Macaca mulatta: one gene and its partners. The protein of the gene in region 5 interacts with the protein of the main gene of each other region in a pairwise test. Links are inferred from orthologs where the notes say so. Each region holds a gene or a part of one and is shown on either strand. Other genes may lie near its edges. The genes, in order: CHRAC1, DAXX, TUFM, RUSC1, FAM9B, CEP95 and HAPSTR1.

The links.
Region 1: the proteins of FAM9B (region 5) and CHRAC1 interact in binary tests that used the Homo sapiens proteins (3 or more experiments, as listed by UniProt). The two-hybrid records come from large-scale screens. The link is inferred for Macaca mulatta from reciprocal best matches to the Homo sapiens genes FAM9B and CHRAC1.
Region 2: the proteins of FAM9B (region 5) and DAXX interact in binary tests that used the Homo sapiens proteins (3 or more experiments, as listed by UniProt). The two-hybrid records come from large-scale screens. The link is inferred for Macaca mulatta from reciprocal best matches to the Homo sapiens genes FAM9B and DAXX.
Region 3: the proteins of FAM9B (region 5) and TUFM interact in binary tests that used the Homo sapiens proteins (3 or more experiments, as listed by UniProt). The two-hybrid records come from large-scale screens. The link is inferred for Macaca mulatta from reciprocal best matches to the Homo sapiens genes FAM9B and TUFM.
Region 4: the proteins of FAM9B (region 5) and RUSC1 interact in binary tests that used the Homo sapiens proteins (3 or more experiments, as listed by UniProt). The two-hybrid records come from large-scale screens. The link is inferred for Macaca mulatta from reciprocal best matches to the Homo sapiens genes FAM9B and RUSC1.
Region 6: the proteins of FAM9B (region 5) and CEP95 interact in binary tests that used the Homo sapiens proteins (3 or more experiments, as listed by UniProt). The two-hybrid records come from large-scale screens. The link is inferred for Macaca mulatta from reciprocal best matches to the Homo sapiens genes FAM9B and CEP95.
Region 7: the proteins of FAM9B (region 5) and HAPSTR1 interact in binary tests that used the Homo sapiens proteins (3 or more experiments, as listed by UniProt). The link is inferred for Macaca mulatta from reciprocal best matches to the Homo sapiens genes FAM9B and HAPSTR1.

What each region holds. Positions count from the first base shown.
Region 1 is NC_133413.1:150,833,643-150,837,758, reverse strand, and holds the start of CHRAC1 (chromatin accessibility complex protein 1), read right to left. Parts: upstream 2,801-4,116; 5' UTR 2,770-2,800; coding exon 2,623-2,769; exon of another isoform or gene 2,492-2,622; intron 2,246-2,491; exon of another isoform or gene 2,190-2,245; intron 1-2,189. UniProt on the Homo sapiens protein: Forms a complex with DNA polymerase epsilon subunit POLE3 and binds naked DNA, which is then incorporated into chromatin, aided by the nucleosome remodeling activity of ISWI/SNF2H and ACF1.
Region 2 is NC_133409.1:148,966,160-148,970,416, forward strand, and holds the start of DAXX (death domain-associated protein 6), read left to right. Parts: upstream 1-1,457; 5' UTR 1,458-1,502; coding exon 1,503-1,555; intron 1,556-2,426; exon of another isoform or gene 2,427-2,479; coding exon of another isoform or gene 2,480-2,496; coding exon 2,497-2,686; intron 2,687-2,836; coding exon 2,837-3,668; intron 3,669-3,812; coding exon 3,813-4,021; intron 4,022-4,176; coding exon 4,177-4,257. UniProt on the Homo sapiens protein: Transcription corepressor known to repress transcriptional potential of several sumoylated transcription factors. Down-regulates basal and activated transcription.
Region 3 is NC_133425.1:28,093,539-28,097,763, reverse strand, and holds the start of TUFM (elongation factor Tu, mitochondrial), read right to left. Parts: upstream 2,801-4,225; 5' UTR 2,673-2,800; coding exon 2,621-2,672; intron 2,509-2,620; coding exon 2,314-2,508; intron 2,004-2,313; coding exon 1,837-2,003; intron 1,579-1,836; coding exon 1,474-1,578; intron 1,386-1,473; coding exon 1,221-1,385; intron 1,075-1,220; coding exon 942-1,074; intron 858-941; coding exon 753-857; intron 625-752; coding exon 473-624; intron 378-472; coding exon 258-377; intron 1-257. UniProt on the Homo sapiens protein: GTP hydrolase that promotes the GTP-dependent binding of aminoacyl-tRNA to the A-site of ribosomes during protein biosynthesis. Also plays a role in the regulation of autophagy and innate immunity.
Region 4 is NC_133406.1:111,658,952-111,662,680, reverse strand, and holds the start of RUSC1 (AP-4 complex accessory subunit RUSC1), read left to right. Parts: upstream 1-1,473; 5' UTR 1,474-1,602; coding exon 1,603-2,968; exon of another isoform or gene 2,969-3,239; coding exon 3,240-3,650; exon of another isoform or gene 3,651-3,729. Other genes in the region: FDPS (farnesyl pyrophosphate synthase), read left to right, coding at 226-426; putative uncharacterized protein RUSC1-AS1, read right to left, coding at 408-1,394. UniProt on the Homo sapiens protein: Associates with the adapter-like complex 4 (AP-4) and may therefore play a role in vesicular trafficking of proteins at the trans-Golgi network. Signaling adapter which plays a role in neuronal differentiation.
Region 5 is NC_133426.1:8,568,769-8,572,872, forward strand, and holds the start of FAM9B (protein FAM9B), read right to left. Parts: upstream 2,801-4,104; 5' UTR 2,534-2,800; intron 1,777-2,533; 5' UTR 1,688-1,776; coding exon 1,660-1,687; intron 1,160-1,659; coding exon 1,039-1,159; intron 860-1,038; coding exon 828-859; intron 1-827. UniProt on the Homo sapiens protein: May play a role in meiosis.
Region 6 is NC_133421.1:74,427,422-74,430,921, forward strand, and holds part of CEP95 (centrosomal protein of 95 kDa), read left to right. Parts: intron 1-43; coding exon 44-197; intron 198-2,154; coding exon 2,155-2,294; intron 2,295-3,500.
Region 7 is NC_133425.1:10,312,706-10,316,822, forward strand, and holds the start of HAPSTR1 (HUWE1-associated protein modifying stress responses 1), read left to right. Parts: upstream 1-1,317; 5' UTR 1,318-1,380; coding exon 1,381-1,606; intron 1,607-2,241; coding exon 2,242-2,322; intron 2,323-4,117. UniProt on the Homo sapiens protein: Acts as a central player within a network of stress response pathways promoting cellular adaptability. The E3 ligase HUWE1 assists HAPSTR1 in controlling stress signaling and in turn, HUWE1 feeds back to promote the degradation of HAPSTR1.

The DNA of each region.
Region 1 (4,116 bases), on a different chromosome or scaffold from region 5:
TTATCAGGCTTAAAATTACATTAAGACTTCAGATTATCTTGGTTTCTTAAATTACAAGAAATCACTGCGGAGGCCGGGTGTGGTGGCTCAACACTTTGGAAGGCTGAGGCAGTCGGATCAGTTGAGGTCAGGAGTTTGAGATCACACTGGCCAACATGGTGAAACCCCATCTCTATTAAAAATAAAAAATTAGCTGGGCATGGTGGCAGGTGCCTGTAATCCCAGCCACTTGAGAGGCTGAGGCAGGAGAATCGCTTGAACCTGGGAAGTGGAGGTTGGAGGTTGCAGCACTCTAGCCTGGGCGAGACTCCGTCTCAAAAAAAAAAAAAAAGAAAAGAAAGAAATCAATCACTGGGGAAAAGAAAAACATGAGGTCAGAAAGAAAGCAAAGCCGGTATCAAAACTGGCAGAGAAGCAGGCATTTTCCAGAGGCTTTAGATGTCTAACTTATGAAAAAGATTAATCATAACTGTTTAATGGCCAACCTCTAGAGTAAAAAAAGAAGCGGCCAGCAGTGCTGGCTCACACCTGTAATCCCAGCACTTTGGGAGGCCGAGGCGGGTGGATCACAAGGTCAGGAAATCGAGACCATCCTGGCTAACACGGTGAAACCCCGTCTCTACTAAAAATACGAAATCAAAATTAGCTGGGCATGGTGGCGGACGCCCGTAGTCCCACCTACTGGGTAGGCTGAGGCAGGAGAATGGCGTGAACCCGGGAGGCGGAGCTTGCAGTGAGCCGAGATCGCGCCACTGCACTCCAGCCTGGGAGACAGAGCGAGACTGTCTCAAAAAAGAAAGAAAGAAAGAAGCAAAAAGCCATTCAAAAATTCTATTTGGCTCAGTAATACATTTTTAGTCTTCTATTTGCATACACTGTTTCTAAGGTGGTTCACCTACAACTATAGTGACCACAACTCACATTTTGCCGAAACTTTTCTATTCTAGAAACTAACGTACAATCCTCAGACCTAATGCAACAACCGGAACTGATCATCTTCTCCCTCCTGCACCCCAGTTCTTATAGCAGGCCCAAGTCTTCATTTTTACAGAGGCTGAACTGAGCCTTTCTCAAGGTTTTGACTTTAATGCATCTAGTTCAGTTAATAAGGGATGAGAAAGACAGGCATGGTGGCCTGTAATCCCAGCAGTTTGGGAGGCTGAGGCAGACGGATCACGAGAGGTCAGGAGTTCAAGACCAACTTGGGCAACATGGTGAAACCCTGTCTCTACCAAAAAGTACAAAAATTAGCCAAGTGTGATGGCAAGCACCTGTAATCCCAGCTACTCAGGAGGCTGAGGCAGGAGAATCACTTGAACCCGGGAGGCAGAGGTTGCAGTGAGCCGAGATCACGCCACTGCACTCCAGCCTGGGCAACTCCATCTCAGAAAATAAGGGATCAGAAGTGCCTGCATAAATCCTCATTCCTTAATACCAACAGAATGAAACCGTACAGGAAAACACAAATGCCCCCAGATGACCCCAGGGTCACTTTCCCTCTGGCTGTTTGTGGCGTAGGTGCAATAATTGCTGAATATGCAATTATTTCCCTGGGCTCTAGGAAAACATGGCTCTGATATAAAGCGGGCAAGAAACCTGTAATTTCCCACTTCCCTTAGTTCTAGTCCAATACTGTCGGAACATCATATACTTAACTACAAGTAGGGACTGGAAAATGGAATCCAAGGCAAGCCAAAGCATTTAACTGTGTAGCTGAAACATGGCCCAGTTTCAGAACAGGAAAACATCTGGCCTAACACTATCAAGACGCAATTTCTTAAAAAAAGACAAAATTAACTATTTTGCACCCAAGAGGATGCTAAACAGGCTGTAAAACTAAGTTCCCTGGACTTCCTTAAATTCTGGTTGCGGTATGTGCTGCCTCTTAAGACGAGGGGCCAGGTGTGGCGGGCGGGTGGGCTCGAAAGCCTCGGACCGCTGGAGCTGGCACCGCACCTACGGGGAAAAAAGCCTCGAGTGGCGGGTGAAGCGCCTGGCTGCACCTCCCACGGGACATTGGAGGAGTCAGGGTCCCCAAAGCACGAAGCAGGCCAGTGACGAGAAAAGGAACGCCGGGAGTGGGAATCTCGGGCGAAAAAGCCCCCAAAAAAACCTAACGAGAAAAGCGCCACTCGACACCGACGCCCACGGGTAGAGCCGGAAACTGCGAGCCGCACGCGAGGGAGGACGGGAGCGTACAGGTAGGCGGGACGAAAGGCACGCAGAGGAACGCGGGAGTTTACAGGTTTGCCGGACGGAAGCGCGCGAGAAATGGCGGGAGGACAGTGGGGTGGGAGGGGCGAAGGTGCACAAGGAAGGGAGGGGCGGGCGGAGCGAAGGAAGGAGAGAAAGGGCGGGAGAGGCGCGCGGTAGGCGGGGCGAAAAAACTCGGGAACCGGAGGGAGCGGCGCGGGGTGGGCGGGGCGAAGACGCGCGAGAAAGTGTAGGGGCGCGGGGGCACCGTGGCGCGCGCCGGCGTGGGACGGGGACAGCGGGGCGCGCGCGAGCCCGGCAAGGGCAGCCGGCGGCGCGCGGGCCCAAGGGGAATGGGCAGTGCCCGGAGCCCGGCGGGGCGGGGCGCGACGGGTAAGGGCGGCCCACACCCCCGCCCTACCCCCTCACCGTGGCCTTGGCTGTGAGCACCAACGCCTCCTGGTTGATGCTGGACACCTCGGGGGAGCTCTTCATGATGACCCGGATGCGGGATAGAGGCAGCGAGATGAGCCGCTGCTCCCCGCACTTGTCTTTGCCCACGACCACGTCCGCCATCTTCCCGCCCCTCGCGCGGGCGGCAGCCGGCGGGCCCGACTGCTAAGTGGCTGCCTTGCCGGCCAGCCGGTGGGTGCGGGGAGCCGCGCTCGCTGCCCCGTGGGAGTTGTAGTGTGGGGAGGCGCCGCCGCGAGGCCTGGAGCGGCCCGTCCGGGAGACTACGAGCTCCGTGATGCCTCGCGCGCCCAATCTGCGCATGCGCCGCCCTTCGGATCCTCCCCCCCTACCCGAGTGTGTGACCTGATGTGGAGCCAGGAGTCCAGAGTCTAGTGAGGGGCGGGGGTCGGGGCGCTGCGGGGGCGCGCACTTCTCGGGAGTCTCCGAGCTGCGATCGCGGACTACGATTTTGATCCGGGTGAGGGCTCTGCGAATGGGCAAGCAAAACCCTCTGAGTCCGGGCCTCGTCGCTCGGTGCTGTGTGTTAAGGGCCTGCGCTGTGCTAGGACCGGGCGTGCCGCCGTGGGCAAAAGTGACGCTTTCCTGAAGCACAAATTTCTGGGGGGGCGACCAAGCGGCAGCAGATGCGTCCTGCGCCGGTAGCCACGCGGCCGGTGGAAGAGCAGAGACCAGCACGGGCCATGCGGCGGGGCCGGGCTTGCTGCACCGCTCTGCGCTGCGGGGTGATGGGGAGAGGCGCCTTCATTGGGGGTGAAGGGCGGGGAGCTGCCCGGAGGAGGTCCTGGAGCCTGGTGGGAACAGCCTCTTCGGGGCTGCTCCGAGAGACGGTGTGCAGAGCCTGGCGTGCTCGCTGAGGTCTGACAGGCAGCCCGGGGCTAGGTCCTGTTGTTTTTTTTTTTTTATCTAAAAAAAAAAATGGGAAGTCGTGGTAGGGTTTGAGCAAAGGAGTCCCGGGCAGTTTTTTTTTGTTTTTTTTTGTTTTTTTTTTTTGAGACGGAGTCTCGCTGCGTCGCCCAGGCTGGAGTGCAGTGGCCGGATCTCAGCTCAGTGCAAGCTCCGCCTCCCGGGTTCACGCCATTCTCCTGCCTCAGCCTCCCGCGTGGCTGGGACTACAGGCGCCCGCCAACACGCCCGGCTAATTTTTTGTATTTTTTAGTAGAGACGGGGTTTCACTGGGTTAGCCAGGATGGTCTCGATCTCCTGACCTCATGATCCGCCCGTCTCAGCCTCCCAAAGTGCTGGGATTACAGGCTTGAGCCACCGCGCCCGGCCCGGGCAGTTTTTAAAGGATCCCTGCAGCTGCGGGCTGGGAGGGGGTGGGTGCGCTTAAGGGCGGAGTCACAGAGACCAGGTAGAAGATGATTACGAGAACCCAGGAACTTGGCCCTCAGGAGGCCGGCGGTACCAAGGGGACAGCAGCTGGGAGGAGAGAGGCAGGAGATGGTCAGG
Region 2 (4,257 bases), on a different chromosome or scaffold from region 5:
GGCGGAGGGGAAAAAGAGAGAACTATTCTTTTCTTTTTTCTTAAGAGGGTGTCTCTATTGTAAAAGGAGAAGTGAAGAATGAGAACCTGTACTGCAGGTGTTTCCTTAGGAAGACCAATTTTGGGAAAGTTGAGGTTCTGGAAATTAAATCCCTTACATCTCCCAAGTTCCAGTCCTCGCGGAGGTTTTTTATGTTCCCCATTTTGAAAGCTGTAGACTTTGACGACTGGAGAGAAGTGATGTGGGATTGTTCAATGGACGGGTGTTTGCGATTCTATGACTCAGCGTTAGGGATGTAGTAAATTCTGTGAACCTAGTTAAGCGGCAAGATGCCCACCACTTGTGGAAATGGGAATCTTTGCGATTGGGACCTTGTTAATCTTTCTGGTTTCCTCATAAGCTCACCTCTGGACCCAGCCTTGCCTCCACGACTCCCTCCAACCTCCCTAAACTCAACGAGGTGGGTATCAAGTCTGTTTCTTCATCTTTCATTCTTTTTTACCCTCTCCCAGAAGAGGAGGAGGAAACCCAAAGTATTTTATGAGCCTCATTTCGTTTCACAGCAGCCCTTGCAGAGGCTCAAACTCTCCTCCAAGCCCCACCCCATCATCGCCCATCCGCAGACCCTGGGCCTCCACGACAAAGCACGGCCTCACAGTCAGCACCGACGGCCCTTCGAGGACCCCCTCTGGAGGAGAACCATTCAGGTCCCAACCGTCTGGTCATTAGTTCTGTGGTGAAGCTTGAAAAGCAAATCAGCAACAATAGTAATAATAATAACACTTTTGTATGGCGCATTGTGCTTATTTGTACGCATGTGTTATAACGACTGTGGGACGCAGCACCTGGCAGTAGAAGCAGCTGCTGGACAGCGGCAAGGAGCGCGCCGCCCTTGCAGGGGAAGGGGCTGGGTCAGCCGAATAAGCCGTGGAGATGGGAACCTGGGGGACAGGAAAGCAGGGCCAGATAGCTTGCCAATAGCCTAGTTGAAGATAAAGGTTTTACTTCCCTTTTAAGAGACTTCTGCCATTCCCTGAAACCCTACGCAGCTTTGGAAAGCCTAATTCCTAAACCACCCTGTTCGGTTCCCCTGCCCCTCCTTGGAACGGAGGCTCCGTTCTCCCCACGCGCTACTCGCCGGCGGTTGGACCCCAGGGAGGAAGTTTCTGATTGGCGGAGTCAGAGAAGCACCGGGTGAAAAGAGCTCCTCCGGCTGCGCACCGAAGTTCTGGCGTAGCCAGCGCCGTACGGCAAAATGGCGGCCCCCAGCTGCTTTGGGACGCCCGGGTTCGGGGAGACAAACTCCGACCTGGAAGACAGCGCTGACTATGTGGGCGGCACTGGAGGTGTTCGCGGGGCGGGCCTACGGCCGCTTCCGGCCACAGGAAGCCTTGTTCCGTACGACAATATGGCGGCGCTTAGTTGCATGCAGGCGGAAACTCTGTTGCTTCCGGTCCGTAGTGGGGCCTGCGGTGGGAGTGGGAAGGAAGGCGGAGGGAACCATGCGAGGTTCTGAGATCTGCGGCGAGGGTCGCCTCGAGAGACGGTTTCTGAGGTGGGGGCCGGATGGTGCGGGGATCAGAGGCGGGGGCGGGGATATCGAGGCAGAGGTATTGGGGAGAGCCGGGCTCTGAGTCTGAGGGGAAAACTGTGGTACCTTCCTATCCCTGAAAGGGAGTGGGGCGGCCGGGGGCTGAACTGGGGGAGGGGGATTTGGCGGGAAGCGCATCTACCGGACCGGCCGGACCCAGGGTTGGGATCTAAGAGGAATCGGGAGAGCGTAGCGCGGTGCGGGGGGACTTCTAATTAGTTACAGGTCACCGAGAGAATGGGGAAAATTAGGGTGGGGTGAAAGGGAGGGGACTTGGGTAAAATATCTTCAACCTAAAGGCCCAGTTTGAGGAGACTCATCTGAGGGTGAAATACGGAGATAATTCAAGGAGGGGAAAAGAGAACGGACTGTTGGGAGGGAACCTCTTTCACCTCAGAGAGTCTAGGAGTTGGGGTGATCATTCAGGATGGGGCGGGTGTGGGGTTGACTTGTTTGAGGGCAGAGGGGGCAAACACATGAGGTGGCGCCCACAGGAGTGTGTTGTCTGTGCCAGGGGGTGTCAGGACGATTTAGGGTGCAGTGTGGGAGAAAGAACCAACTTGCCAACTCTGAGAAAGAGTGGGGAAATGCAACAGAAAGACCGGAAATCGACGTGAGGGGTGGAGCAGAAGGTGGCAACTTAAGGTGTGGGGGGGTTTGCCCCCCCCCACACCACTTGAAGGGCCCGAAAAGCATATAGAACTAATGGTTATTGAAATCAGGTGGTGAAGACAGTGTTGGTCAGGGCTGAAACCCAAGGAGTTCAGAAAATGCGTGAGGTGAAGGGATGGGGCTATGCTGGAGGGGCTCATTCTGAGGCCCCATCCCCTTCCAGCAGGAATTCTGAAATCCCCACCACTTCCTCCTTCCGGGGGATTTGATTCCCCCATGGCCACCGCTAACAGCATCATTGTGCTGGATGATGATGACGAAGATGAAGCAGCTGCTCAGCCAGGGCCCTCCCACCCACTCCCCAGTACAGCCTCACCAGGGGCAGAAGCCCCTAGCTCTTCTGAGCCTCATGGGGCCAGAGGAAGCAGTAGTTCGGGCGGCAAGAAGTGCTACAAGCTGGAGAATGAGAAGCTGTTCCAAGAGGTGAGCTTTAGCTGGGAAGATCATTGTACCCCAGGGAGGGGGATGGCTGACTGGCTCTCCTGTCCTTTCTTCCCCACTAACCCCACTCCCCTTTCTCTCAACCCCCTCCCTTGTCTCTCTTCCCCTTCCTTCTTCCCCTGAACCTTCTAGTTCCTTGAACTTTGTAAGACGCAGACAGCGGACCACCCTGAGGTGGTCCCATTCCTCTCTAACCGGCAGCAACGTGCCCACTCTCTGTTTTTGGCCTCGGCGGAGTTCTGCAACATCCTCTCTCGGGTCCTATCTCGGGCCCAGAGCCGGCCATCTAAGCTCTATGTCTACATCAATGAGCTCTGCACTGTTCTCAAGGCCCACTCAGCCAAAAAGAAGCTGAACTTGGCCCCTGCTGCCACCACGTCCAATGAGCCCTCTGGGAATAACCCTCCCACACACCTCTCCTTGGACCCCACAAATGCTGAAAACACTGCCTCTCAGGCCCCAAGGACCCGTGGTTCCCGGCGGCAGATCCAGCGCTTGGAGCAGCTGCTGGCGCTCTATGTGGCAGAGATCAAGCGGCTGCAGGAAAAGGAGTTGGATCTCTCAGAATTGGATGACCCAGACTCCACATACCTGCAGGAGGCACGGTTGAAGCGTAAGCTAATCCGCCTCTTTGGGCGACTATGTGAGCTGAAAGACTGCTCTTCACTGACCGGCCGTGTCATAGAGCAGCGCATCACCTACCGTGGCACCCGCTACCCAGAGGTTAACAGGCGCATTGAGCGGCTCATCAACAAGCCAGGGCCTGATACCTTCCCTGACTATGGGGATGTGCTTCGGGCAGTAGAGAAGGCAGCTGCCCGACACAGCCTTGGCCTCCCCCGACAGCAGCTCCAGCTCATGGCTCAGGATGCCTTCCGAGATGTGGGCATCAGGTTACAGGAACGACGTCACCTCGATCTCATCTACAACTTTGGCTGCCACCTCACAGATGACTATAGGCCAGGTAGGGGGTTAGTGGGATGCCTCTCAGTGACCCTTATATGTCAGGTATGAGGCGGATGGGGCATCTCTCTAGTCCTTTCTAGGGTTTGTACTCTTCTAGTCCCTTCCACGGCTGAGTGCTCTGACTTTATATTTTCCCACGTAGGCATTGACCCTGCACTATCAGATCCTGTGTTGGCCCGGCGCCTTCGGGAAAACCGGAGTTTGGCCATGAGTCGGCTGGATGAGGTCATCTCCAAATATGCAATGTTGCAAGACAAAAGTGAGGAGGGCGAGAGAAAAAAGAGAAGAGCTCGGCTCCAAGGCACCTCTTCCCACTCTGAAGACACCCCCGCCTCCTTGGATTCTGGTGAGGTGTGGATGGGGTAAAGCCTTCAGAGAGACATTGTCCTTCCCCTGCACTGGCCACCAGGGAGTCCAGGTTGACTGATGGGGGAGCATGAGAAGGAATGCAAGAACCAAACCCTCTAGGGCAAGGGATTCCTTAGAGAAACTTCTTTGTCCCCCAGGGCCCTAGTGGAATGGCATCCCAGGGGTGCCCTTCTGCCTCCAAAGCTGAGACAGATGACGAAGAAGATGAAGAGAGTGAT
Region 3 (4,225 bases), on a different chromosome or scaffold from region 5:
AGGAAATCTTTCTGTGGGTACATGCTGGCAGAGCTAAGCTTTTAACCTGCTTCAGCTTAGGGCACGCTGGATGAGGACTCCCGCCCCTAAGTCCATGGGCCATGCCCCTTCTGTTGGCTAGCAGCGACAAGCAGCCCCTTTCCACCTAAGGAAATAAAGTCACTTGGGTTGTCACAGTGTGTCTTTGGAACTATGAGTGAAGCAAAGGTGATATAAAAAGTGCTCCCTCCACCCTACATTTCTCCCACCCACCGTACCTTCTCTGGGGGCAGGATAACCCGACAGGCCATGTCCCAAGTCAGGGAGAACATGATAGGCATGAAGTGGGACACAAAGGGCTTGTGGCGGCCACCTTCCTCCTTGCTGAGGATGTAAACCTGGAGGAGAGTGAACAATGAGGGTGAGATGGGCTCGGCTGGAATGCTGGGGACAGCTTGGCTCAGCCCTGCCCACCGTCACCTGGAGCCCTCACCTGGGCCTCCACCTTCTGGTGGGGCTTGATGGAACCCGGCTTGACCATGACCAGGCCCCGCCGCAAGTCCTCCCGCTTCAAGCCTCGAACCAGGGCCCCGAGGTTATCTCCGGCCTCGGCCCTCTCCAGGTTCTTGTGGAACATCTCAATGCCTAGGAGGAAAGGGGAAAAGGAGTGGGGAGAAGGAAGGCGAGTGTAAGATGGAGGGAAGGTACAAGGGATCTGCCGGGGTAAGGCCACCCTGCAGTCAGCCCCTGGTCCCCAGGCTGGCTTCCCGTACCTGTCACCACAGTGCGGATGTTCTTGCTGTGTCCTAGGAGCTCACACTCGTCTCCCTTCTTTAAAATGCCACGCTCTAGCGTACCTGTCACCACAGTGCCACGGCCTGAGAGGGAATAAGACAGGACATCAGGGACCCCGAGCTAGGCTGCTGCTAGAGAGAGTGCGTGGGAACAGGCAGAGTCCTCACCAGGGACGGAGAACACCCCCTCTACAGGCAGCAGGAAAGGCTTCTCCAGGTCCCGGGTGGGCACTGGGATGTAAGTGTCCACAGCATCCAGTAGCTTCTGCACAGATTTCAGGCCTAATTCAGGGTCCCGACCCTGTTGAGGGGAAGCGACAGGACTCTGAAATCCCCATTCTACTCCCCTCGATTATCAAGAGCCACTTCCCAGACACAAAGCAGAGCTCTGGGTGCCCATCTAGCCCCACCCTCTGCAGCAGCCACCCTGCCTGACCCGGCCTTCACCTCAAGGGCACAGAGAGCAGAGCCTACAATGACTGGGGTCTCCTCCCCTTTATAGCCAAACTCGGTGAGCAGCTCCCGGATCTCCAGCTCCACCAGCTCCACCATCTCAGAGTCCTGGACAGCGTCAGCCTTGTTCACATACACCACCACATGCTCCACCCCAATCTGTAGACAGCAGAGAGACAGGGACAGTATCCAGAGGGGCCCAACTCCCCACTCTTCCCCTCTGCACCTTTACCCAGGCTCTGAGTACCTGTCTGGCCAGTAATAAGTGCTCTCGGGTCTGGGGCATGGGGCCATCATTGGCTGCTACAACCAGGATGCAGCCGTCGAGGGGTGCAGTGCCTGTGATCATATTCTGGGGAGGAGGAGGAGAGGAAACAGCCAAGTTCAACGAGCTCTTCAGTCCACATCCATATAGGCAAGTGTAGCAGTTAGAATCTCAGGCCCACCTTTCTCTATCATCTCCTCACCACCCATTCTGAGTGGTCATGGCCACAAACCTGCCATCTCATATCCAAACACTGAATATTTTAATCTCCTCCCCACAAGCCTAACATTTATCCTGACAAGAGGCAGCTTCTGGCCCTGTCTCCAGTGTCCCAGCAACCCTCACCTTAACATAATCTGCATGACCCGGGCAGTCTGTGTGGGCGTAGTGGCGGGCGGCAGTGCTATACTCCACATGGGCCGCATTGATGGTGATACCCCGAGCTCGCTCCTCCGGGGCATTGTCAATCTCCTCATACTTCTTGAATTTAGCCCCACCTCCCTCGGCTAGAACTAAAGGAGAAAGAGAACACACCTCTCAGCTAAAGTTGCAGTGCTAGAGGCAGAGCTTAGACCACGCCCCTGAGCCCTCCCACCTAAATACATAACCTCCTCCAATCTCTAACTCTTCCAGCAGAGATAACTGTGGGTCAGAAAGAATGTTAGGGGGCCTTTAGGGTCTACCCTGTGACTTCTTTGGGGTACAGCCTCTGCTCTTGGAGCCACAGTAAACACCTCCAGCAGACACTCTGCTAGCCTTGCCCCCCTGGCTCCAGGTCCCATCAGTAGATAAGGCGCTACTGGACGCCCCAACCCCACTCACTCTTCGTGATGGCTGCAGTCAGCGTGGTCTTGCCGTGGTCCACATGGCCGATGGTACCCACATTCACATGTGGCTTGTCGCGCACGTAAGTCTTCTTGGCCTCCACGGCCAGGCCGCGGCACAGGAGAGGCAATGCCGGAGTCTTCAGCGGCCGCAACAGACCCTGCAGCAGGAAGGTCCGGCCGGTGGCGAGACCTGCCGGGACCGAAGCTTGGGAGTCAGGCAGGACAGGGGTCAGACCGAACCCAGCCACCTACCACACCCCCAAAGTGTTCCTGGGCCGCCATCGCCCTCCCCGACCCCTCACCGCTGAAGTGGGGCGTCGCGCGCAGCAGGGTGGCTGCCGCCATTGTGGTCATACTCGCGCCCCAGGAACCGGGGAACGGGGCCCAGGAACCCGAGCGTGCAGCAGAGAAAGGGCGCCTGCGGCAGGAAGGCACTTCCGACGGAAGTAAGGACTGGGAGGGCAAGTCCGGGCCCCTCTAGCCGCCAGTGTCTATGGCCGTCTCCGCCGACGTCGGGCGCGCGGTTGAAGACGTCATGGAGGGGGCTGGTGTCTCGGGGGCGGAGAATGATGGAGAGGGTTTCCACCACTCGGGCCTCACGGGCTGAGGGGCAACGTAGTTTTCTCTGGCGGTCGCGGGGGGCACTGGGGAGCGTCCCCTAAAGCACTGGCGCCGCGAAGGCTCATGGGCGTACTAGTTGTCAGGGCGACGGGCTGTGGAGGTGCTCAGCATGGGAGTCAGGCGGGTTAGGCCGGACCCGGAGGGAGGGACTCGGGCTCGGGGAGGCAGCTGCGGCTCCGACTGCTCAGGAACCAACTGGGCCCGGCAGAGAGAGACCCCGAGTCGTCTGGAGTCCGACTCGCTACCCGGGTCTTGCGAGATATCTGGCCCCTTCTGCCGTAGCTGGAGGTAGGGGACCAGGTCCTGGACGCCTTTCGGGGATGGGGTGAAGTGTGACCTCTCTCTCCGCTGAGGCTTTGTTTTCTAATCTGTAAAATGGGAATAGTAGTATCCACTTCATAGGGAGAGCCTGACCTCTGGCCCTGAGAGGAGATTAACTGGGTAGGAGTCAGGGTTGGGCCCCGTGAGGTCAGGCAGCTTGCGGGGACCTTGTACTGCTAGACCTCACAGGGCCAGAGCCCACAAGACAGACAGCTTCGCTGCCCAACCCTGTAGCCCCTCAGCAGCCTAAGGAGCAATTCCTTTGGGCATCGCCCCACCCATCTAATTTTGCAGATGAGGAGCCAAGGATGAGGAGCCAGCTAGGGGAGTCTTTAAGGGCAGCCTGAGTCTCCTTTATTCTGTCTGTGGCCCCAGCACCTAACAGGGTGGAGCATGCAGTGAACGTTGAATTAATGAGTGCAAGGGTAGTCAATGTCCCTTAACTTCCACATCCATCATCTCATGGCAGCTTCCACATGGCACTCCAAAGTGTTAATTGTGGTTGCTTAACCCTGATTTATGTTTCGGAACTCATCAGATCCTGAGACTCAGTGGACAGTGTTGCAAAGATTCCCTAATTCCTCCCCTGGAGATATGATTCCGTCGGGTCTATGCACGGACTGGGAAGCTATGTAACAAACACCCTTCCAAAACTCAGAGGAGGCTGGGCATAGTGGCTCATGCCTATAGTCCCAGCACTTTGGGAGGCTGAGGTGGGAGGATGGTTTGAAGCCAGGAGTTCAAGACCATCCTGGGCAGATTAGGAGACCCTATCTCTACAAAAAAAAAAGTTTTTAAATTAGCCAGGCACAGTAGTGTGCACCTCTAGCCTCAGGAGGCTGAGGCAGAAGGATGGCCTGAGCTCAGGAGTTCAAGGCTATGGTGAGGTATGGTCGTGACACTGCACCCCACTCTGAGTGACAGAGAAAAACCCTATCTCTTTTTTTTTTTTTTTTTTTTTTGAG
Region 4 (3,729 bases), on a different chromosome or scaffold from region 5:
AAACCCGGGAGGCGAGCTTGCAGTGAGCTGAGATCCGGCCACTGCACTCCAGCCTGGGCGACAGAGCCAGACTCCATCTCAAAAAAAAAAAAAAAGAAAATTGGAGGGAGGAAAGGAGTGGGTGGCTTTGGAGATGTTCTGAAATATGAGAATGAGAGGAGTGGAGGGGTCCTGGAGGCTCTGGGGAAGGCCAAGCCCGTTTTCCTGTCTTCCAACCCCTTTTAGGAAAATTACGGGCAGAAGGAGGCTGAGAAAGTGGCCCGGGTGAAGGCACTATATGAGGAGCTGGATCTGCAGGCTGTGTTCTTGCAATATGAGGAGGACAGTTACAGCCACATTATGGCTCTCATTGAACAGTACGCAGCGCCCCTGCCCCCAGCCATCTTTCTGGGGCTTGCGCGCAAAATCTACAAGCGGAAAAAGTGACCTAGAGATTGCAAGGATGGGGAGAGGAGGCTCTCAATAAATAATTGTGTAACCTTTTTGTGGTTCTGTTCTTGCTCGGCGCAGCCAGAGTCTGGCTCTTTCCAGAATGTGCGGGGTGGGGTGCTGGGAGGACTCGCTGCACAGAAGCGGGACCCAGGGGCCTTGGCATCAGGGCCAAAAGCTTGGGATACATCAAACCCGCTAGGTGGGTGACACAAGACGCTAAGCGCTGGGGGCGGGTCTGAGCTACGCCACGCCCATGCGCGAAGGGGTGCAGATGCGCTGCGCAGAGTGGGTTGTGCTAGTGCCCCTCCCCTCCCGCTCTGTGCCCCGCCGGGCGGGGACCGTGGGAGCCGAGGACAAGCCCAAGGCCGGAGCGGTTCCAGGAGGACCCTGGTGAGGAGGGCTCGGCCCATGGGTGTAGGCCGATGGACCAGGGCACGAGGGGCGGGGCAGGACAAGGGAGCAGGAGAAATGAATAGAGAAGGGGTGCGGTGGTGACTGAACGATGGAGACGAATGCGGAGAGAATGGACATACCGCTGTTCTGAGGGGCGAGGGCGCAGGCTGGAGCCCGGCGGAGGCAGCCAGCAGATGTGGAGTTGACGAGCTGACGGCTGCTCCATCCTTTTCCTCTCCAGCTCCCACCCCTTTCCTGCATTCACCAGGCAAACTCTGCATATCGACCCACCCCCATCCCCCGCCTCCTTTCAGGGCATCTGGGTGGGTCTCCCTGGGTCCCTTCCTGTGGGAGTAAGGGGTAGGCAGGAGGGCAGGGCCAGATTGCGGCAGCAGGGACCCGGAGGTCCATTCTGGGCCCGGACCTCTTCCGGGCCCCCGCCCCCCTTCGGAAATCCAGAGCGCAGCCGCGTTCTCTGACCCTCCCGGCTCCATTCCCGGAGGGTTACATTCGACTCCACCTGCAAACACTGCAGTGGAAACTAATGGCCAGTCGATTGCGATTTGCATCTCATTGAAATATCTTCCAAAGCAGCCAGAGCCTTCAGGCCTGCTGCTGCCGTCAGTCACCTCAGTGTCCTTCCCGCAGCTCCTGTCCTCACTGGCTGGGCTTCGCCACCCCTGTCTTCTAGGTCTGCACCTGTGGTTGCCAGGTAGGTGGATGTGAGAGACCCTACCCTCCTGGTTCTCTAGAAGCCATCCCATCGCCGCTGGCACCATGCTGTCTCCTCAGAGAGCTTTACTCTGCAACCTCAATCACATCCATCTCCAGCACGTCTCCCTGGGCCTGCACTTGTCCCGCCGTCCTGAGCTACGGGAAGGGCCCTTGAGCACATCCCCTCCCCCAGGAGACACTGGGGGCAAGGAGAGCAGGGGCCCCTGCAGTGGCACCCTGGTGGACGCCAATTCCAACAGCCCAGCTGTGCCCTGCCGGTGCTGCCAGGAGCACGGTCCGGGCCTAGAAAACCGGCAGGACCCATCACAGGAGGAAGAGGGGGCTGCCTCTCCCTCAGACCCAGGCTGCTCTTCCTCGCTCAGCTCCTGCTCAGATCTTAGCCCCGATGAGTCCCCCGTCTCAGTCTACTTGCGGGACCTCCCTGGTGATGAGGATGCCCACCCTCAGCCCAGTATCATCCCCCTGGAGCAAGGTTCCCCACTGGCTTCAGCAGGCCCTGGCACCTGCTCACCGGACAGCTTCTGCTGCTCTCCTGATTCCTGCTCCGGAGCTTCTTCTTCACCCGATCCTGGCCTGGACTCGAACTGCAACGCCCTGACCACCTGCCAGGACCTCCCTTCCCCAGGCTTGGAGGAAGAGGATGAGAGCGCGGAGCAGGATCTCCCTACCTCTGAGCTCTTAGAGGCGGATGATGGGAAAATCGACGCTGGGAAAACGGAGCCCAGTTGGAAGATTAACCCAATTTGGAAAATTGACACAGAGAAAACTAAAGCTGAATGGAAAAACACGGAAAACAGTAACACTGGTTGGAAAAACAACGGGAATGTTAACTCTAGCTGGAAAAATGAACCTGAAAAATTCGACTCTGGTTGGAAAACCAACACAAGAATAACTGATTCTGGCTCGAAAACAGATGCAGGGAAAATTGATGGAGGATGGAGAAGTGACGTCAGCGAGGAGCCGGTGCCCCACCGGACAATCACGTCCTTCCACGAGCTGGCCCAGAAGCGCAAGCGGGGCCCAGGGCTGCCCCTCGTCCCGCAGGCCAAGAAAGATCGCAGTGACTGGCTCATAGTCTTCTCGCCCGACACCGAGCTGCCCCCCTCGGGGTCGCTGGGCGGCTCCTCGGCACCTCCTCGGGAAGTCACCACCTTCAAGGAACTCCGGTCCCGAAGCCGGGCCCCACCCCCGCCAGTCCCGCCTCGAGACCCCCCAGCTGGCTGGGCTTTGGTCCCGCCCCGGCCCCCACCCCCGCCTGTCCCTCCCCGAAGGAAGAAGAACCGACCTGGACTGCAGCCCATAGCGGAGGGGCAGTCCGAGGAGGGCCGGGCTGTCAGCCCAGCGGCTGGCGAGGAGGCCCCAGCCGCGAAGGAGCCGGGAGAGCCGGGCGCGCAGGCCGGCCTGGAGGGTAAGAGGTCGCAAGAAGCGGGAGGAGGGCTGGGCTTCGGCCGCTCACGCCTCCTAGGCTTCCAACCCGGCCCCCTGTCTTCCCTCCATTCTGTGTCACCCATCCTCCCCGCCCCTTCTACCAGGGAGCGCTCCGGGAAAGGGAAACTGGGTGGGTCATTGGGATATGGGACTAACTCTTTGCTCCCTCTTCTTCCCGCCCCTCCTTGCCTGGCTGCCCATCCCGCTGCCCTCCTTCCCTCTGCGCCTGGCCCCGCCAATCCCGCCTGCAGCCGGTCCCCTCCTGCTCCCTCGGCCCCTGGTTTTCCGGTTCTCGGCCGACGGGCGCCCCCTGTTGGAGGGTGGGGGCGCAGGCGCAGCTGGGTCTCTGCTCCTGGCTCCTCTGGCAGGGTGGCCTGGCGCTGGGCTGCGGCTGCTGGGGGCGCCGAGCCCCCCAGAGGAGCAGCTGCTGCCCGTCCGCCTGTCCCCAGTGGGAGCCTATTCGCCTCCGACTCGGGGAGCCTTGCCCTGCCTGGCCAGCCCCGAGCTGGCACTGCTGCTGTCCCCGCTCTTTCCCAGAAGTAGCACCTTCCCCGCCGCGGCTCCCCCACCCCGCCAGGTACCCGCCCCCCCGCTGCCACCGCAACCTCGTCCGCCGAAGGCCCCTCGCTGGACCAGGAGCCCATCGCCTCCGCCCAGGCTACGTAAGACGGACCCGGGCAAGCCCCGCGGGCCACGCCTCAGGCGGGCCGCCCCGCCCGCTCCAAGGCCCCTCCCACTATC
Region 5 (4,104 bases):
CAAACTTTTTTGAAAATATGGTCCCTATAACAGTGCAACTAATATTTCACACAGCAATATAAAGTTTATGAGTTTTTGGATCCAATTACATGTTTCTCACTAGATAGAAAAGTTGTCCTTTTGTACTACACAGTTTATTACTGGAATAATAATGGAAAATGATTTTAGAGAATTCAATTTTCTCTTGTACTTCAAATAAAACAAAATCAGAAAGCTGTGACAATAGAATAGCTAAATTAAGAACATGAAAAACTCATATTAAAAACTCTGAGTACATATGGACAGGAAGAAGGGACCAACAGACAACTGGGCCTACTTGAGAGTGGAGGGTAGGAGGAGGGTGAGGATCAAAAACCACCCATCAGGTACTATGCTTATAACCTGGGTGACAAAATAATCTGTATACCAAAACCCTGTGACATGCAATTTATCTATATAACACACCTGCACATGTACCCCCAAACTTAAAGTGAAAGCTTAAAAAAAACCTGATATATGACTTAATCTGCGTACACTAAAAGGAACGAATAGAGCTGTTTCTCCTCCAATGTCCTCTAATATTCTCCAAACAATTAAATTTCCACGTGTATGAAAGAAAAGCCATCCATCTCGCTTCACCATTATTAGAAGCATTCTCACATTCCACATCAACAATCAAAGAGGTAAGAAAAATTTATCAAACAGATTACATTAAATACGTATGTTAAATGCTACATATGATAAGCCATTTAAGACAGTCTTGTCATCCACTGATTCATATAACTTACTGCAACAGTTGCATGATTGAAAACAATTTTCATAAACGACAGATAACTCCTAAAATATACCTGCAGTATCTTCTGGCTTCTTGGTATTAGCCCTGTAAAAAAAGTTACATCAAAATTTTAGCATAATACTACACAAAATGCCATGTTTGTTGGGAAAAGAAATGTCTTATGTGAAATGTTCTGCACAGAATAGAACAGTGATGACATGGTCCAAAGGTGACTTTTCCTAAAAGACCCTATCCCACAGGCAAAAGTGACTTAAACACTTTACCCCGTGTGCTCGTCTTTTTCAGCAAAAGGTTCTCTTTCCCCATGCTCATCAGTTACATCTTCCTCCCTTGTTTCTGTAAAAGGGTTTCTTTCCTCACATTCGTCACTGACTGGATCCTTTCCTGCATTAAAATTTAAAAGACAAACCTTTTTTAGAGGAAGACACTGTTGTGGACTTTTTTTGTGGAGAAATGTACTTGTTGTAGACTTTTTTTTTTTTTTTTTTTTTGGCTATCTGCCAATTAAGGCTTTAAAGCAGAGCTGTACATGGAATCACCGGCTTCTGACCATTTTATCAAGGCACTTTTGGAAGCCCTTCGGGTTCAAGTCCCAGTAAACAACATACTACACGTCAGACCCCTTGGATGTCATGACTGCACTCATGGAGAAGAGCTGCTCTGGGAGCATCTGTAACCCCGCTATGAGGGGAGCCTTTCACGGGAAGCCTAAGGCCCTTGAGCCTGCTTTGAAAACCTGGGGCATCTTAGCACGTGCACGATGGACTCCAAAGCCACGAAGGGGCCCGGGTCCTTGGGCTACCCCTGTGCCCCCAGCGCAGAAAGCAGACAGACCGTCCTCTTGGGCGTGCACTTTCTTCCGGGTCACCTTGGGCTGTATTTACCTGCACGCTCCTTCCCCTGGGCCGCCATAAATTGAGCCTCCAACTGGGCCTTGGCAGCCCTCCTGCCCACAGGATCCGTGGCTGGCTGTCCTGGGAAGCTACAGGTGATCCCTGAACCTGATGAGGGCAAAGGCACACTAAGGAAGCAAAGGAACCCTGGCATCGGAAAGGAAAGCCATTGGGATCACAGGTTCAAGAAGGGTGGGGCTGGCACGCCCTGGGTCTCCTGTGGGAGCAGGAGGGGACCGAAAAGATGCCAGTGTCCCCTCCTGTCCTGGCCCGTCCAGCCCGTCCAGCCCGTCCCCGGGGCTGGCTGCAGAGCTCACAGCTGCCCCTCACACCTGAACTCCACGGCGTCTGCGGGATCCTCGCCGCACCTTTGGGACAGAACTCAGCCCTACCTCTGGGTCCCCCAGCGACCCCGTGTGGCTGGGAGGGCCACCGGGTGACACAGGATCTCCCCAGCCACCTCCAGAGGAATGTCAGGGGCTGCACTGTCACTCACCCGCCTGGATGCACAGGGGACCCCTGATGACCCCAAGTGTCCTGTCCTGACGGGAGGCCGGGCAGGAGGGCCCCACTCAGACTGTCCCCAACAACACCCTCGCCCCACCCCCACTTCCCCCCACCTTCCGCACCTCCCCCCAACACATGCACAAGCCCTCCTGGGCCCTAGGGATCACCCAGGCGGCTCCAGCTCCCTCCCTGCCCTGGCCCACCCCAGCCCACCCTCAGGGCCTCGCCCTGACCCAGGCCCCAGGCGACCACGCCAGGGGCATTTCCTCACAGGTCAGCGGGCGGCCCAGCGCTTCACACCCTGGTTCCCAGAGGGCCTCGTGCCTGCGTTTCCGCCTCCCCACCGCGAGCGCTTCACCTGAGGGACCCCTGATGTGGCGCCCTCAAAGAACCTGCAGACAACAGCACCACTAGGATCTCTTAGAAAACGGGTCCTCTCAGGAGGCTGAGGCAGGATGATTGCTTGACCCCGGGAGGCGGAAGTTGCAGTGAGCCCAGATCGCGCGGCTGCACTGCAGCCTGGGCGGCAAGAGCCAGACTGTCTCAAAAAACAAAAAACAAAAAACAAAAAACAAAAAAGAAAACAAGTACTCAGTTCTCGTGAGAGCTGCCGACAGCACTTCCTACGCTCCTCGCAGATTGGTCGACTCAGTGCACATGCGTGTGACAGGCCGTGTGGGGCCACGCCCCCTGCTGGCACGCCCTCCCCCTTCCCCTAAGTGACAGCAAGTGGTTGCTGTGGACTGAGGTGGGGTTGGCCCTTTGGGGCCTCTGTTCCCACATTCTTTCAGCTTCTGCTCCTGGGGAGGGACACAGGACTTGGTATGGAGGCCAAGTGGACAGGGCCTAGAACCTCGCCCTGGGGCTCTTTCCAGCCACCCCTGCCCCTTTGGCTAGAATGGCCATCATCCTATGGGTTGGGCCCAGGCTCCCTCCCATGCCCTGTGTGCTTCCAACATGCCCAGCTGCATCCTTTTCAATCAATGGATTGTGCTTTTATCGTTTTTGTTTGTTTTTGAGACTGTGTCTCACTCTATCGCCTAGGCTGGAGTGCAGCAGGGTGATCTCAGCTCACTGCAACCTCGGCTTCCCGGGTTCAAGTGATTCTCCTGCCTCAGCCTCCCAAGGAGCTGGAATTACAGGAGCCCAACACCAAGCCCTGCTAATTTTTTTTTTTTTTTTTTTTAGTAGAGACGAGGTTTCACCATGTTGTCCAGGCTGGTGTCGGACTCCTGACCTCAGTTGATCTGCACGCCTTGGCCTCCCAAAGTGCTAGGATTACAGGCATGAGCCACCGTGCCCTGCCCATAACCATTTTTGTTTCCTCACTACTTTTCTTTCTCATCCTCATGCCCCAGACTTGCCCACAAACCCTCATGCTCCAGACTTATGCAGACATATGCCACAACCTTCACCCACAAATTAATGCCTTAATACTTATCGTTAACTCAGCTTTTTCCCACCTCCAGTCGCCTATAATAGGGGGAGAGTTGTTTTGGAGTTAGGAGTAAATAAATATTGCCTAAAGTTTGTAAATCAAGATATAGAGTTTCATTATATTATTGAAATTATATCCCAGCACTTTGGGAGGCTGAGACGGGCAGATCACAAGGTCAGGAGATCGAGACCATCCTGACTAACACGGTGAAACCCTGGCGACAGAGCGAGACTCCACCTCAAAAAAAAAGAAAAGAAAAGAAATTATAAAGGCAGTCATCAGGAAAACTAATCCACAGCCTTAAATGTCTATATAACCAAAAAGAGCACACACAAAGAACACAAATCCTGTAGTAAAAATTGAAAAATAAAGAAAATACTCCAGAGACCATAACATAAAGGAACAAAATTAAGGCCAAGTGAATCTGTTGAGCAAGAAATATGAATGAGATAAACTCAGAATCTAAAGGAAATGACTTCCAACTTGGATCA
Region 6 (3,500 bases), on a different chromosome or scaffold from region 5:
TGGTGAAGTCAGTGAAAGATGTTGAAAAAAGTTTTCTCAATAGATGTTAAAAAGTGCCCTGGGTGGTCGGATTAAAGAAAAGACTGACCATAAAGAAGAAGATACTGGAAATGAAGAGGTAGAGGATGGAACTGAGGAGACACTGTCTCAGCACAGTGATGGCATCGTGGAGTATGGGCCAAAGAAGACAAGGCCAGGTACTTACCCCAGAGAGACTGAGAAAGGGGGACAGCCATGTGAACTACTTAGGCAGTTCCATCTGTTCTTAATAACTTAGATTCTAATTTTAAATAGTTGAGAAATATATAAAAGGATCAGAAGTAATATCAAACACCTGGATCTTCCCCGGCTAGAAGTAGCAGGTGTTAACAGTTATATTTGCTTTAGCCCCTTTGTGTTTAAGAAGTAAAACAGTAGAAACCCCCTCTGCTCTCCCCACAGATCTCTTCCCCACCCTCAGTGCAACCACTATCTTAAAGTTGGCGTCTTTTCTTCTGATCCTTGTTTTTATACTTTCTTAACAGCTCTTACATTACTTGTCTAAACATACTATTGTTTTATGTCGTTTAGAAATTAACATACTATATATATTATTCTGCAACTTGCATTTTTTTCTGACATTGTCTTAGAAATCTATTGCTGTTGATACTTATAGATCCAGCTCATTCATTTTAACTGCAGTGTAACTGAGTTCTTACAGTGTGTCACTTTTGTGAGTTCTTACAGTGTGTCACTTTTGTGTGGGTGTGTATATATATATATGTATAGCACTATACATTTCCCCTATTGCTGGACATGTTGATTGTTTCCAATTTTCATTACTATAAAAAATCTGCAATGAACAGCCTAGAATATGTGCAAGAGTTTCTGTGATATCTCCATCTAGTAGGATTGCTGGATCGTAAGGCCTACATTTCTTCACCACTGCCAGCTTGCCCACCAAAGTGATTGCACTGCTTTATACTCATATCAGCAGTTTCTGGTTTGCCACGTCTTTGCAGACACTTCCTACTGTTTGATATGCCATTGTTCAAATCCAATTATCCTGTCTTCCACCAACTAAAATCCTGCATATTTTATATTTAGTTTTATCTACTTTGGTCATCCATTGTTTCTTCAGAAATAGCCTTTTTCTGACCCAACTTCCTTAACTTTTTCAGTTGTTTTTTACTCCTTCAAGAATGCTCTTTCCTTCTCTTGACTGTTTCATCTCTCTTCCCTTTAAAAGGACTCAGCCAATTTCTAGGCACCCTCATCCAGGAACCTCTTCCTTTCCCTTATTATGTACATACACATGGTATCCTGTTGTGAAAACAGGTTATAAATTAAAATATTATTTCAGGTGCGTCTTCAGTTTCTGGAGAAGAATACATCATGCATCATGAGCAGCTATCATTCAAAATAGATTATGCAAGTCAGTTTTTAAAAATACATCTTAGAATTTGAAATGTGAAAGATTTGAATTAAAAGCATGTGAAAAAAATAACAAGCTCAGGGAAAATTTATTTATAAAGGTACCAAAACTAGCTTCCTTGGTCTTAAGGCTCTCTTGAAGTGCTTTTCCCACTGGAGTCACCCTCTTCACGACTAGCAGATGCCCAGACACACCTATAGACAATGGGATAAAAAGGTTTGTAGAAAGAAATGGTTTGTTAGATCTCTTTGGCAGTGTGCAATTAGGAGGGCTAGATTGCTAAGTAGGGAAAAATTGGGACCGCTTAGACAATGCTTAACATGTTAACTTTGCCTGTAAGCATATATAATAAGATAGATATGTATGCTTACATCCCACCTCCTCAGGACCCAGACAGGTAAAAGGATAGCAGATGCGCAGCTCAGATAATTTACCTTTTCTCTTTTCCCATCTCCCCCATCACCAAGAGCACTCTCCATAGTCCTTTGTGCATAGGAGGCATTCCACATGTTGAATATCCAAAGTTGAATGTAGAAGCTAAGTGTTTGAGACAGTACACATTCGTATGCATTTGTCTGTTACTTGGTGTTACCATACCAATACAAGTTAGTTACAGAAGACAGTCCCTTTAGCACATTTCACTCATCAGTCTCTCTGGATTTAGTAAAAACCAACTTTGGTTTCCAGCATAACATTCTGGCTATCAGGAACTAATGTTATGTGTCTTTTCTCTGTTGCAGGACTTTCCATGCATAGAAAGCCACCCTACAGATCCCATTCGCTCTCTCCATCTCCAGCTAACAAATGCAAACAGTTCCACACGGAGAGAAAAAGGCAGCGCAAACCAAGAGAAACAGATACCCACCAATTCCGAGCACAGGTGCTTCCCCATCTCTTGACTACCATTAAGCAGCAGCCAATACCATTTCCCCTCAGCCAGATGCTACCATGAACATGCTGTTGATTTAAGGCTTAAAATGCATTTAATATTCTTGAGCGGAATGGATGATAGAGAGCTACGTGGCATAGCTTATGTCTCCATTAGCATAAAATTATACTCATGAAACTTAAGAAAAATAACCTGGCCAGACATAGCTTGGTGTTCCAGTAGATTAAGAAAGAGGAGATCAGCGTGAGTTGTTATTTTCAGAGTGAGTGAGCTTCAGAGATGAGGGGAATATGAGGTGGATTAAAGTGACAGGCCACTTGAGTTACAGAGAAGATGAGATCAAGTACCCAAGACAGGAATGAGAGGAGGTGGTTGGGATTCAACAACAACGAGACTGGTATGATTACCTAGGAAGACTTTCCCCTGTGGAATGTGGATTTTGAAATGTAGCATGGATTTAGAACACTTAAGTTGTTTACAGTAGTAGGTTTTATAATGCAGTAGGATTTATGATGGTGAAAAACTAAAACTAATTCAGACGTCTCACACTCATTTGTAACTCAGCATGTAACTTCCACTCAGGAGAGTATCAAAATAATTGCAAAAACTTGAGAACAGAAAAAATGCGTGATGTAAAATTTCATTTTATGTCCCAATTATATATGTTAAAGTAATGTAGATTTGTGAGCCGGGTGCAGTGGCCCAGCACATTGGGAGGCTGAGACAGGTGGATCACCTGAGGTCGGGAGTTTGAGACCAGCCCAGCCAACATGGTGAAACCCCATCTCTACTAAAAATACAAAAATTAGCCGGGCATGGCAGTGCACGCCTGTAGTCCCAGCTACTCGGGAGGCTGAGGCAGGAGAATCACTTGAACTCGGGAAGTGGAAGTTTCAGTGAGCCGAGTTTGTGCCACTGACTCCCGCCTAGGCAAGAGTGAGACTCTGCCTCAAAAAACAAAACAAAAAAACCCATACATTTTGTGATACAGAGTCTGAAAGGAATTTTTTAAAAAGTGAATGAGCGGCTGGGCGCGGTGGCTCATGCCTGTAATCCCAACCCTTTGGGAGGCCAAGGTGGGCAGATCACAAGGTCAGGAGATTGAGATCACGGTGAAACACCGTCTCTACTAAAAATACAAAAAAAAAAAGTTAGCTGGGCGCGGTGGCAGGATTTTTTTTTTTTTTTTTTTCTCAA
Region 7 (4,117 bases), on a different chromosome or scaffold from region 5:
CAAGGCGCAGACGCGTGCGGGCACCCGGCAGCCTGGGCAGTCGGGTTATCCTCGGCTCCGCGGGCGGCTGCCTCTTGTCCACCGGGAAGGCGCAACGACCTCGGGGACGCCAGGGCGCAGGGGCAGCTGAGCCGACTTCGCAACTCTTAAGTTTTTCTTTGGCTCTGTTGCTCGATTTGCCCATCTAAGAAATGGGACTCTGGGCCGGGCGCGGTGGCTCAAGCCTGTATTCCCAGCGCCTTGGGAGGCCGAGGCGGGAGGATTGCTTGAGGCCAGGAGTCTAGACCTGGACAACGTAGCAAGACTCCTTCTCAAAGGGAAAAAATAAATGAAGTGGGGGGGCACTCAAAAGAATCGGAAAGTGCTTTGCAAACTTGGACACGAGTCGGGCGTTTTATTCACTTTCTCTACTCCCCTCCTCCCTTTGGGAGCCCCAGGGGCTGGAGTAAGCACGCTACCACCCACTACACCTCTCAATGCCCGCGGCACAGTAGTCGCACTCGATTTTGCATCCCCCAGGGCCTGTAAACGCCGGAAAAGCTCCCGCGGGGTGCGGTCGCTGGGCCTGGTCACGTGATCCCCACTCGGCGCCCCGGAGCTCGGGGGCAGCGAGCAAGTGCGCATGCGCATCCCTTCAAGCTCTTCCTCCCCACCCCCACCGGCTACCTTGGCTCGGACGCAACCACTGTCAGGTCCTCCCCCTCCTCCCTCTTCATCCTTCCTGACATTCACTCCCTTCCCCCAGCCACTTGGTTACGTCAGGCAGACAGGCCGAAGAACCAATCACGGTGCTGTGCTCAGAAGCCGGCACGCGGAACCGGTCTGATCCGACTAATAGGGGCCCTTGGAGCGGCCACGCCCCAACCGGGCAGGGGAGCTCGGGCCCAGTGGGCGGTGCTTCTCCAGTCAGCATGTGGGCGGGGTAGGGCGGGGACCAGCAGCCGCAGAGGCGTCCTCCGCGGCGGCGACGACGACGTTGCTCAGTCTTTGGGGTGGGCTCAGCGGTGCAGGCCGGGCTGCGCGGAGGGCTCGGCGGTCAGCGGCGGCGGCGGCAGTTGGGAGGCCGCAGCGTCATGGGGGAGCGTTAGACAGGCTGCGGCGGGGGAGGCGAGGGGCGGCAGCGGTCATCTGGTCCGCGGCGACCTCGGCGGGGCCCGGGGGGTGGGAAGGCCTGGGGCGGGGGTCGTCCCTGGTTGCACGGGGCCGCGGGGCGGGGCTCGCCGGCCGTCGGGGTGCAGGAGGCCTGGGCCGCTGAGAGGAGGAGGCGCCGCCGGCCGCCGGGCCCTGCCGCCGGGCCGCTTGACGACGACGCTCCCGCGGGGGCCCCGCCTGAGGAGGACGCGGCGGCGGCGGCGGCGAGGCCGCGGGAGGCCGCGGAGGATGGAGGAGCGGAAGGAGGAGGGCGAGGCCGAGATCCAGGAGCACGGGCCCGAGCACTGGTTCTCCAAGTGGGAGCGGCAGTGCCTGGCCGAGGCCGAGCAGGACGAGCAGCTGCCCCCAGAGCTGCAGGAGGAGGCAGCGGCCGCCGCGCAGCCCGAACACAAGCAGCAGAAGCTGTGGCACCTCTTCCAGAACTCGGCCACCGCCGTGGCCCAGCTCTACAAAGGTGAGGCCGCCGCCGCCATCTTGGTGCCGCTTGGCCGCCCCCGCCCGGGCCCGGCCCTGTCGGCTCGGCTGCCGCTTCGGGGGGCCGCTACGGCGGCGGCCCCGGGGGTCCCGTCCGGTGGCGCCGCGGCTCTGCCGCCCCCTCCCCGCAAGATGGCGCCGTGGGAGGGAGGCCCGGGGTTGGGGGGGCAGGCCAGGGCCGGCGTCGGGGGAGCCCCGCTTTGCGGTCGTCCGAGGGTCCCCGCTCTCCGGGCCCGGCCGCCCGGTGTCCCCCTCGGCCCGGAGAGGGGAGGGGAGGAGCCCCCGTCACAAAATGGCGAAGGGAGACGGCGGGGCGGCCCCATTGTGCCCTGAGCCGGCCTCGGGGCGGGGACTGCGAGGGGGGCGCCTCCCTGCGCCGCGACTTGTCCCTGATCTGAGCCCCTGAGGCCTGCGGCATCCCCTTCTCCCCGCCGCGACCCCCCTGCCCCCCGGTCCTCACACTGGGTTTGGGATCCCGAAACCCTTGAACAAAATGGCGAAACCTAATATGGCCGTTCCGGAGTGATTGACGCCCAAATAACATTCTTGTTCTGTTTCTTTTTCTATGTGTGTTTCTTTTTTCTTTCTTTTTTTTTTTTTTGGTTTGCTTTTCAGACCGAGTGTGTCAGCAGCCAGGACTTTCTCTCTGGGTCCCCTTCCAAAACGCAGCCACCGCCGTCACCAACCTCTACAAAGGTAAAGATAACCTTGCTGCATTGCCGATTCAGGGAAGGGCCGCTTGCGTCAGGGTGTCTCCCCTGCGTTCCAAGTGTGTTTTCTGCTCCCCAGCCCAGCTGCTAACCTAGAATACCTTGCAACTTGAGAATCCCGGCGGTGCTCTAGCTAGATCCACCGGAGGCAGTTTTGACACCCCTCAGGACAGATGGCAACGCCTGGGGACGTTTTTGGTTGTCTTCTCCTAGAGGGGGCTGTTGTTGGCACCCAGTGGATGGAGGCTGCTGAAGGTCCTGCAGTGCCCAAGATAACACCCCCGGCCCCCTCAGCGAAGAATTATCCTGTCTCTTAAGTCAGTAGTGCTCAGGTTGAGAAGCCTTGAGCTGGGAGACGCTGAGCCTTGCTTCCCACTGGAAAAGACGTTGAGGGAAGAAAAGAGTTGATGTTTTTTGTACTACAGTCGGAGGTGGGACGAACTGTATGGAAAAAATTCTTGAGTTAGGCATTTGAGAGCGTGGCAGTGTATGTAGTTTTGAAGTGCTTGAAAGCTTGCTAATCGGTCATCTGCGTGCATGTTAACGTGCTGCTCTTTTCTAGCATTTCATCACGTGTTTTCTGTCAAAACGATTCTATGTCTGATTATTATGAGTTGCTGGCAGGAATTCTATTGAGGGTTTTGAGTTGATAGATTTGTGTTTTATGGTGGTTCCTTTCTGGAGTTAATCCACCCTTTGTGATGACATGAAGATATGTAAGTAAACGTTCTTGACCATTGTGCTTTCTTGGTAACGGTGGGTTTAGATTTTGTGCCTTACTGATTTTGAAGACTGAGAAATTTGAGGTTGAATTTTTGTTTTGTTTTTGGCAAGGTTTTTATGGAAAAAGGATTATGACTTTGTTAATCTTAAGAAAAACGTAATTAAATGCTTTCAAACTTTTAAGAGTTGCTCAGAACAGTAATGGAATTTTGTGCATTTCAAACATACCGGTATAGGTTGAAACGGGCTATGAAGCTGCTGCGTGACTTTCAAGTTTTAATTTTTGTGTAAGAATGTGCAAATGGCCGCTGCATCTTGTAGGAAAAATATTTCTTATTGTGAGATTTCTTGAGTAGACTACAGTTTTTTGGGACAGTAATTTGAGAACTGGTAACAAAGTGATGAAAAGGAACGCTAACTTTAGGGAATGAGGAACTATCATGCTACTAGTCCAGCCTTACTGAAAAAAGGGAACATGGTTAAATAGTGCCCCAGTGGTTGGCTTTGCTTTTATATAGCTGTTTCTTAAATTGTGACTGAGTAAATTGCTTCAACATCTGTAGTGCTTGACGGTCTTGAACATTTTGGAATGGCTCTTGGTTTTGTCCAAAAAGGGAATTTTGAAATAATACTTAATTTAAAAAAAGTTTCTTGGAGTGTAATTTACATACGGTAAAATCACCGTTTTAGAATGTGTACTTCGTTTTTTTTTTTTTTTTTTTTTAACAAGTAGAATATATCTGTCACCCCCACTCCAGCCCCTGGCAGTCACTGATTTGATTACTGTTTTTTCTTCTCCATCATGTCCTAAATAGAACCGTGCAGTCCTTGTAGCCTGTTGTGTCTGGCTTGTTCCACTTACTATGATAAGATTCACCCATCGAGTTCGCATTGCAGGTGTGCATAGTTCAGTGCCTTTTAATTGGCGAGTATTGCTCTGTGGTGTGGCAGTACCATGATTTATTCTTTTGCTCTTGTTGGTATTGCTTTGTTCTTGAAGGGGAAGGCAACACATTTTTAGTGTTTTTATGTGCCAGGTTCTCAGCCTAGGCCATATG